2 linked regions of the Nothobranchius furzeri genome follow. The protein of the gene in region 1 binds, or shares a complex with, the protein of each later gene. Links are inferred from orthologs where the notes say so. Each region holds a gene or a part of one and is shown in the gene's direction. Other genes may lie near its edges.

The links.
Region 2: cinp (region 1) and afg2b share a complex: the UniProt entries of both Homo sapiens proteins name them as parts of the 55LCC heterohexameric ATPase complex. The link is inferred for Nothobranchius furzeri from reciprocal best matches to the Homo sapiens genes CINP and AFG2B.

Annotation. Positions count from the first base shown.
Region 1 is NC_091758.1:16,265,681-16,269,994, forward strand, and holds the start of cinp (cyclin-dependent kinase 2-interacting protein), read left to right. Parts: upstream 1-1,256; 5' UTR 1,257-1,384; coding exon 1,385-1,412; intron 1,413-2,516; coding exon 2,517-2,688; intron 2,689-2,919; coding exon 2,920-3,055; intron 3,056-3,285; coding exon 3,286-3,415; intron 3,416-3,862; coding exon 3,863-4,065; 3' UTR 4,066-4,314. Other genes in the region: H/ACA ribonucleoprotein complex subunit DKC1, read right to left, coding at 660-675. UniProt on the Homo sapiens protein: Component of the DNA replication complex, which interacts with two kinases, CDK2 and CDC7, thereby providing a functional and physical link between CDK2 and CDC7 during firing of the origins of replication.
Region 2 is NC_091749.1:43,208,237-43,212,486, forward strand, and holds the start of afg2b (ATPase family gene 2 protein homolog B), read left to right. Parts: upstream 1-1,262; 5' UTR 1,263-1,398; coding exon 1,399-1,992; intron 1,993-2,055; coding exon 2,056-2,241; intron 2,242-2,588; coding exon 2,589-2,873; intron 2,874-2,952; coding exon 2,953-3,138; intron 3,139-3,233; coding exon 3,234-3,392; intron 3,393-3,466; coding exon 3,467-3,676; intron 3,677-3,749; coding exon 3,750-3,974; intron 3,975-4,051; coding exon 4,052-4,186; intron 4,187-4,250. UniProt on the Homo sapiens protein: ATP-dependent chaperone part of the 55LCC heterohexameric ATPase complex which is chromatin-associated and promotes replisome proteostasis to maintain replication fork progression and genome stability.

The DNA of each region.
Region 1 (4,314 bases):
AAAGAGTGTTCAACAGGTTTATCCAGGCGATTACCTTCATGTGTGCAGGAGCAGCAAACCTGCAGCACGTGCAGCATGGTGGCCCTGGAGATGGGCCCTGCTCCAGTGCAACTCTGAGCCCAAAAGGGCCTTTCAGTGGAAAAAGTACGACCGAAAGAAAGTATTTTATCTGAAGGAACAGAAATTTAAATCCCTGTTGCAGTTTGGTAAATTTGGAAAACTGTAAATGAATGATATAGAGCCCACGTGGCCTGCAGCTGCAGCACGTGGTGGAGCGCACGTGGCTGCTAGCGGAGCTAACAGGCCACTGACCGAGAACCCGCTCTCTCAAAGTTAACTACACTAAACGCTGCTGGAGCTTATGAAGAAAACACGAGTCCACAGAGCAAACCCTTAGTTCTGTTATTGAATTAAACCCAACTACTAAAGCATGTTGGACACGTGGAGGGATTTGTTTGTTTTAACTGGCTCAGACGCTGCCAAACCTCCTCATAGACCAACTTAGGAATTTTTTTTACTGCGATTCCTTCTGCGTAAAACACGCTTGTACGTGCACGTGGACGTGTTGTTAATAAAATCCCTGACTCAGCAGAATTATGTTCAAACTTAGCAATAAATTAAACACAGACTGTCGCTTACAAAACGTGCTCGACACTCACCAGCTTCGTCCGCCATCTTCTAATGAAAGATTCTTCTTCTGCTTGATGTTTTATGGCGGCTGGCACGAAAGTACTTGGTGCACTACCGCCACCAACTGGTCACAGAGCAGAAATGAAACCAAATGAGGTAAATAAATAAATGAATTTGCTATTTAAATACAATTTTTACATAATTAAATATAAAATGGAAAAAAATAAATGTGAAAAATAATTCTGACTTTTCTTTCGGTGGTTCTAATGCTCTTCTTTAATTAACTAGCATCCTGGGGGGAAATAAACACTAAAAAAGGCCAGTGATATTTGGAGTCAGATAAGTCTGTCATTAAGTAGTGAGACACAGATCACTGGTGGGCCTCTAGTGCAATAGTGTGTTAAAAAACGGAAAAAACATGAGATGACTGCGGATTTTAGAAGAAACGGGAACATGCTAAATGCTTGTTCCATCCTGGGAGAGAAGGTGGAGGTGGCGGAGGAACATAAATACCTCAGTGTCCACCCGGACGGCAGACGGGACGGATCAGTGTTTACAGTTAACCCCAAAATCCCACTATCTCCGCGTAGTGGAATTTGAGTGTCCACAGCTGCAGATCCAATAAAAATACTTCCTTTTTTATTGTTTGATAAACGTGTGTCCACTCCAGGCCAGGTGGGGGCAGTAATGCTGCACTGCTACCACCCACAAACGTCGAAGAAGAAGAAGACTCAGCATAATTCAGCTGGATTTTATGCGAGAACTTCAGGATCAGATGGAAGGTGAGGATCTTCTTGATTAGTGAAGTAGTTTTTGTTCAGGTCTGAATAACCTGCAGCTTCCGGGTTAAAACATTCTGATGACGTGTGGATGTTTTACTGCAGGGTTGTAAATGAAACCCTGCAGAACCCAGCTGCCTCATCAACATTCACTAGGACAACTTATTTAGATCGTTCCTGTCCGCAGGTATTCTGTCCCATTACTCGTGGCCACACTGCTCCAGGTGTTCTTTCTCCAGATGTTTCTGCTCTTATCACAGATGTTCAACAGCATCTAGATCAGTTCAGAACAGTCCAGTGCTTGGTTCTGATCCATTCTCGGTGTTCCTAGCTGTGTTTTCTGATGATAGACTCTGGACAGTAGATTTGGCTCCAGAGGGTCTTGGTGGTCCTGGGATTGGACCCTGAACCTTTTCAGGAATCCTTGGTCCAGGTGCAGTGAGTCCAGAACAGAACTGATCTTCCTCCATCTTCTACAGTGTTTCTAGAGCCGATTTCCATCTCATCAATCAAAATGATGCTCTCCCTGAAGCTCGTCAGTGTGGTTTTTGGTGATCTCTAGTCTGTTCTTTTGGGTTTTTCTGTCACCAGGAATCCTCCTGGGTCTTCAACCCCTCATGGTGGGATCAGAAAGGCTTCAACAGTCCTGGATGCATTGTTTGTCTGATTCTTCCTTCTGATCAACCTGAGAGTGGATCTCATCTCGGATCCACGTTCTTAGTGGTTGCCCACATTCCCATCAACCTCCTACTTTATTAAAATTGTCAGCTGAGGTCCCAGGACCATGAAGCTGCCTGGAGACGGTCTATGAGCCGTGGCCTTTAATACCCCTGACCTTTGTGAGCTCATCTGACAGCTAATGTTTCTGTGGTCCAGGTTCAGTTTGGCCCAACCAGCTGCAGCATGACTCCTCAAACGGGTCAGATGATGGCTGATGTGAAGTGAAGTTAAACCAAAAGGACAAATGTCTCTTTAAGGGGGACAAACCTGTCTACCCAAGCTAGTTTAGCAGATCTTTGTATGACAAACAAATCATTTCTGTGTGTGTGTGTGTGTGCTCCGTTTCACTGCATGAAAGGAGAAATAACACAAATTCACGGTTTCTAGGTGATTCTTGTGACACCTCAGCGACCCCATCAAACAGGAGGTGCACCTGGATCACAGGAAGTGCAAGGAAGATCAGAGACAACGCCGCTGACTGGCACAACCTGATGCTCAGGTGGGACAGGCTGAACGACGAAGGATTCAATTTGGCAGCAAGTATCGTCAACATGAGGCAGTGAGTTTGTTATTTAGGTTATTTTTCTCTAAGTTAGCCCCCCCCCCCCCACACACACACACTAGATACCCTCTGGGATCCAGATGAGTAAGGGTGGAGATAACTCGTTTTCTTTAGAGCAATCATAAGACGGAGCTTTACTCGTTTGTCTACATTAAGCTCTAAGCGGTCGGTTTTTAAAGACTCATAAATCAGAGGGATCATCAGCTGTGGTGATGTTTATGTCTTCAGTTCTCAGGGAGATCTGCTGGTGTTGGACACGTGTCCACCACCGTCACAGTCCACATCGGCTGAGGCGCAGCAGGTGGCTGGAGCTGCGGAGCTGCAGGATGAATGCCTCAAACTGCAGGATGTCGTTGACAGAATGGTGATGCTTCATTTAACCTTCATCTGGCACGGTTCCATAAATCAGGAGTTTATATGTTGAGTCTCAGAATAAAATAGTTTTTCTAACCTGATAAACAGCTGCTGTGTGTGGAAAGCTGCGGTTGGTCTGGGACCGTTTAATTCAATCTCACGTCAAATAAATGACTTCTGCTCATTTAGTTTTCAGTACGTAACCCTGGTTCACTCCAGCCACGTGTTTCTTCTGCTCAGGTTGTTGTGGTGAAAAAGATGGAGCACCTGGTGGAGATACAGCGTGGCGTTCTGCAGCTGGAGGAGTTTCAGTTTGGTCCTGAAGGAAGACGTGTCCCTCTGTGTCTCAGCTGGAAGACCCGGGAGTTTGGTAGGTCCACCTGAAGCTAACACGCTGACGTCACCTGGACGGGGTTCTGCTTCCACGGGGAAAACTACCAACACCTGGCATCATAAACTGAGCAGGAGGAGTATATGCTGATTATGAGGTGGTCCAGTTGTCTCTATGGCAACAATCTGATGCTGCTACCATCACAAACGCATGCTTTCATGCTGTGACCTCAGACGTTCTGATGAGTGATCCACTAACTAGAACTCTGATGATAACAAAGACCTCCTGTTCAGTCATCACCCACGTCTCCACTCCTTGTGGAGGAGTTGGTGTTCCCGGTGGTCCTCTGGAATGAGAGCAGCAGGTTCCTTTGGCGGTGGAGATGCAGATGTCTGGACACACATTAGAAAATAACTTCAATTGTCTTCCAACCTTTGATGAATCCACTGAACCAATAAGTTTAATATGGTCTGTCTGCTGTTTCAGAGGAGATGTCTGGTGTCCTGCTGGCTGCCTTCAGTCAGGAGCTGAAGTTGAAGCAGACGATTCTGCAGGAAGTCGCCCACACCATGACCTCTGACCTCTCCAAGGTCTATCTGTCCTGTTGGCTCCACCAGCCTTTCATCCCAGCAGCAACCAGACTTGGACTAGAGGCTCTGCTGCTGGAGACGGGCCATCGCCCACTCTAGACTGGCCTGCTGTAGTGAACCCTCCTGTGGTCCGTGGGAGCGATGGTTAGGGTGTAGACCTGCATTAGAGAAGTTTTTATGATTGTCCTACAGAAGAGCAGCAGGAATCAGAAACTGGGTATGAAATCCTGCACATGTTCAGCAAAACATCTCATAACAAATGCTTCTGTCTTCACCAATGCCATGACTCAGGTCCGGTCATCCTGGAACTCCTCATACCTGATTAGTTATGGTTCCTGAATGCACAAC
Region 2 (4,250 bases), on another chromosome or scaffold:
TATATATATATATATATATATATATATATATATATATATATATATATATATATATATATATATATATATTCAGCAAAACGGTAATTTTACATGAGAAATGCCTGAGACATTGCATTTGTATGCAAAAAAAACTTGCACTTAACTGTTGTTTGCTATATTAGACATGCATTTTTTGTGTTTTACTCACACCCAATAGTTTTATTCTGAGTGCTGAAAAAGGTTCGTTACAAATGTTCGTCGTTTTCACTGCAATAAATATGTCATTTTATTCAACTCGGATTTTTATTTTATTTTGTTTACTTTCAGGTTCAGTGAGCTAATACAGTATGACAAAATGAAGAAATGACTAAATGCACATAGACGAGGTTTTGCTGAAAAGAATGATACCAAACAAGGCATTAACAGTAAAATATGGTTTAATTTAAAGGTGAACACTAAAACTTGTCAAAACGGCTACCAGTAGTCACACCACCGACAGAGGGTTAAACACCAGAAACGGACTTGATTATTCTGCATTATCCTGTAACTTTGGGAGTTGTGAAGCATTTACCTAATGAGTTTATTGAAACGCATATGCTGTAGTTTTTTGTCATCTTGACCACGTTTGAACTTGTCCAGCTCTAAAACTCCAACATTTAAACACTTTAAACTGGACTAGATTATAATGTTAGGGCAAATGAATTTGTAACAACAGTTCTACACCAACTGCAGACAAATAACAGAATTAAAAAGAAGCCCGTGTGGGGCCAAATTGATTAAATCATAACCAAGAAGCTTTAAAACAATAACATATTTAAGTCAAGGTCAAAAGCAAACAAACTTTTATTTCGGGATCATATATGTAAGTCTTACTTGAGAGCAGTCGGTGCCTCCCCAGTCATGAACCTCACCGCACGTCACTGAATTCAAATGATTTTCTATTTCCTGTCTCTTTATTCAGCTCTAATTTTAAAACCAAAGTTTCTTCAGTAGAATCTCATTCACCACTGGTGATAATTTGGCACGCACGTGTAAAATGAGTGCTCCTCAGTCTTTTCATTCAAATAAAAGAGTTGTAATCTATTAACTTGTTTCACAAAATATAGTGTCCATAAATTCCCAAATTCACCTGACACGGTCAAAAACTGTCTCAGTCCATCACGCCTGAGGCACCTGAGGACTGGACAATAGAAATGTTTCTAAACCGATATAAACACTTGTCTACGTCAGTGGGCGTGACTTTCTATTTCACTCTACTGCGCAGCCGCAGACTCAAACCCACGTTTCCACTGCGCAGACTCAGTTCCTCAGTTTTTCATGCAGACTGAGCAGGAATGACGGCGGCTGTAAACAGGATAATCTACTGAAAACCACAAAGTCTTGTTCTAATCTTTACCCGCTTCATGTTGTTGGCGGACGATGCAGCGTGTGAAGCTTCTGCTGCCGGACCCCGCTGACCGGGGCTCTCAGAGGTGCCGGCTGGGTCCGGGCTTGATGTCGGCGCTAAGCCTGAGACTAGGCTCTCCTCTGCTGGTGTCTGTTCCCGGGGGGAGCTGCCTCTGTACCGCCTGGCCCCGTTCGGACCTGGCGGAGGGGTTCCTGCAGATGGACCTGAAGTGTATCGCTCCCACTTTGATCTCTCAGCCTCCCGTGCACCTGAGTCTGGAGCCACGCCATCTCACACCTGTGTCCTGCCCTAAACTGAGGGGAGTTAAGGTAACGGTGGTGGTGCAGAGCGCTGGCTTTAGGAAGCACACACCCGCTTGGGTTGTTCATGAGCTCGTGAAGGACATGCTGAAGGGTGTTTATGTTCACAAGCAGTATGTGGTAAACATGGAGGACTATGATACAGAGATCAGGTTTGTTGTTATAGACGGAATCAGACCGGACTCTGACAGTGCAGGTATGGTTACCTCAAAAACAGCTGTGGAGATATCCGGGATCCAGACTCTCAGGCATTACAAGAGCCAGCTACTGGACCAGCACACGCCCCCACTGGGAGGACTGGACGAGGTCAGCTGTTTGAGCATAACTTACTATTATAGTGATAAAAGCTGAAACCGTTTTCCTTTGTAGGTGAGTGCTTCTCTGAGAGAGATGCTGCAGCTGCCCCTGATGTACCCAAACACCCTCAGCTCCCTGGGGGTGTCCTGCCCCAGGGGCGTTCTGCTGATCGGGCCTCCTGGAGTCGGCAAAACCCTGTTGGTCCACAAGGTGGTTGGGGAGGTGGGAGCCAGCCTGGTGGTGGTCCGAGGGCCAGAGGTACTACTGTGTGTTTGCACTGATATGGATGAGTAGCAAAACAATAAAACACTGTCAGGAAGTCATATTTTACACACAGGAAATATATAAGTTTACTGAAATGGTCAAGAATTTAAATAAAGCTACATGACAGAAGAAAAGTCAAAGAGGCAAATACATTTTTTTCAGATGCCATTCTGTTGCGCAAACTATTAATGTTGACGGCTTATACAGACTTTTATACTATACTTTTATACTAGAGACAAAACAAACAGCAACGTTTAACCCAGCAGAAAGGTTATTTAGTGCAGATTGAAATGGCTGTTCTCATTTACATCTGATTTATTGGTGGTGAACTGTTCTTCCAGGTGGTAGGATCTCGACCGGGCGAGAGCGAGGAGACGCTGCGGGCTGTGTTTGAGCGTGCTCGATCAGCAGCAGAAGAGGGTCCCTGTGTGCTCTTCTTAGATGAGCTGGACTCGTTGTTTCCCAGGAGAACCGGCTCGTCTGCACCAGAGAACCGGCTGGTGGCTCAGCTGCTTACACTGATGGATGGGATGAATCGGTCTGACCGCTTCCTCATCGTAGGAGCCACTAATCGCCCTGACAGTTTGGACCCAGCGCTGCGGAGGCCTGGGAGATTTGACCGAGAGGTACTTTTTAAATGTGTTTATCAGAGTGAATTAGAAACAGAATAAAGCTTTGAGCTGTGAGTGTTTGTCTCTCCTCCAGGTCATTATTGGTGCTCCAACCGTGCAGCAGAGAAAGGCCATCCTGACCGTCCTGTGTGAGAGGATGCCTGTGTGTCCCAGGCTCAACATGACAGAACTTGCACAAATCACCACAGGGTACGTTGGGGCCGACCTGAGTGCTCTGTGCAGGGAGGCGGCCATGCACGCTTTAAGGCAAAAAGTGAAGGTAAACTGGCACTGAAGCAGAACAATGACATTTGAACTGTTTCTGTGAATTCTCTACATGCATCTTAAGCTTCGTTGTTGTTGTTATGTCTGCAGGGTTCAGGGAAGCAGGAGGTGGAGATGAAACACTTCCTGGAGGCTCTGAAGTCCGTGCATCCCTCCAGCTTGAGGAGCAGCCTTGGCCGGACGGAGCTGTCCTCCGTGTTGTGGGAGCACATAGGAGGCCTGGATCAGGTCAAAGTCAAACTAAGACAGGTAGCTAAATGGGGGGGGGGGGGGTGACTGAAACTATAACACTCAAAACCTCCTCTCCATATTGCCTTTTAAAGAGCATTGAGTGGCCCATGAGGTACCCCGAGGCGTTTGTGCGTCTAGGACTGAGTCGGCCCCATGGCGTTCTGCTTTATGGACCGCCAGGATGTGCAAAGACGACGCTGGTGAAAGCTGCCGCCTCCTTCTCCCACTGTGCCTTCCTGTCTGTCAGCGGGGCTGACCTGTACTCCTCTTATGTCGGAGACTCAGAAAAAGCTTTAGCTCTGGTACATAAACTTTTAAAATCAGCGACCTGCAGACATCAGACCTGCTTTTATCAATCTGCTTGTGCTCGTGTAGCTGTTTCGCCAGGCCCGCTCCTGTGCTCCCTGCATCCTGTTCCTGGATGAGATAGACTCTCTGATTGGTTCGCGGTCGAACAATCAAACCCCCAACAGCGTGCAGACCCGCCTGCTGTCTGTTCTCCTGAATGAGATGGACGGGATCGGCCTGAGGGTGCTGGAAAGGAGAGGAACAGGAAAAATCCTCCAGACAGAGGGAGTGCAGGAGACTCACACAGAGGAGGTCGTATGATGCTGATGACATCACACCGCTTCAGCACAGTGGGACTTGTGTAATACGTCGTTTTTGTTCTTTCACAGCTGGACAGCCAGGAGGTGTGCAACAAAGATGTGATGGTGGTAGCTGCCACAAACAGACCCGACTGCTTAGACAGTGCGCTACTCAGGCCTGGCAGGCTGGACCACATCATCTATGTCCCACCACCTGATCAACAGGTAAATTATGATGCTAAAAGACTTGAAATACACCAAAGTACAGGAAAAACTTTTAGACTTGATT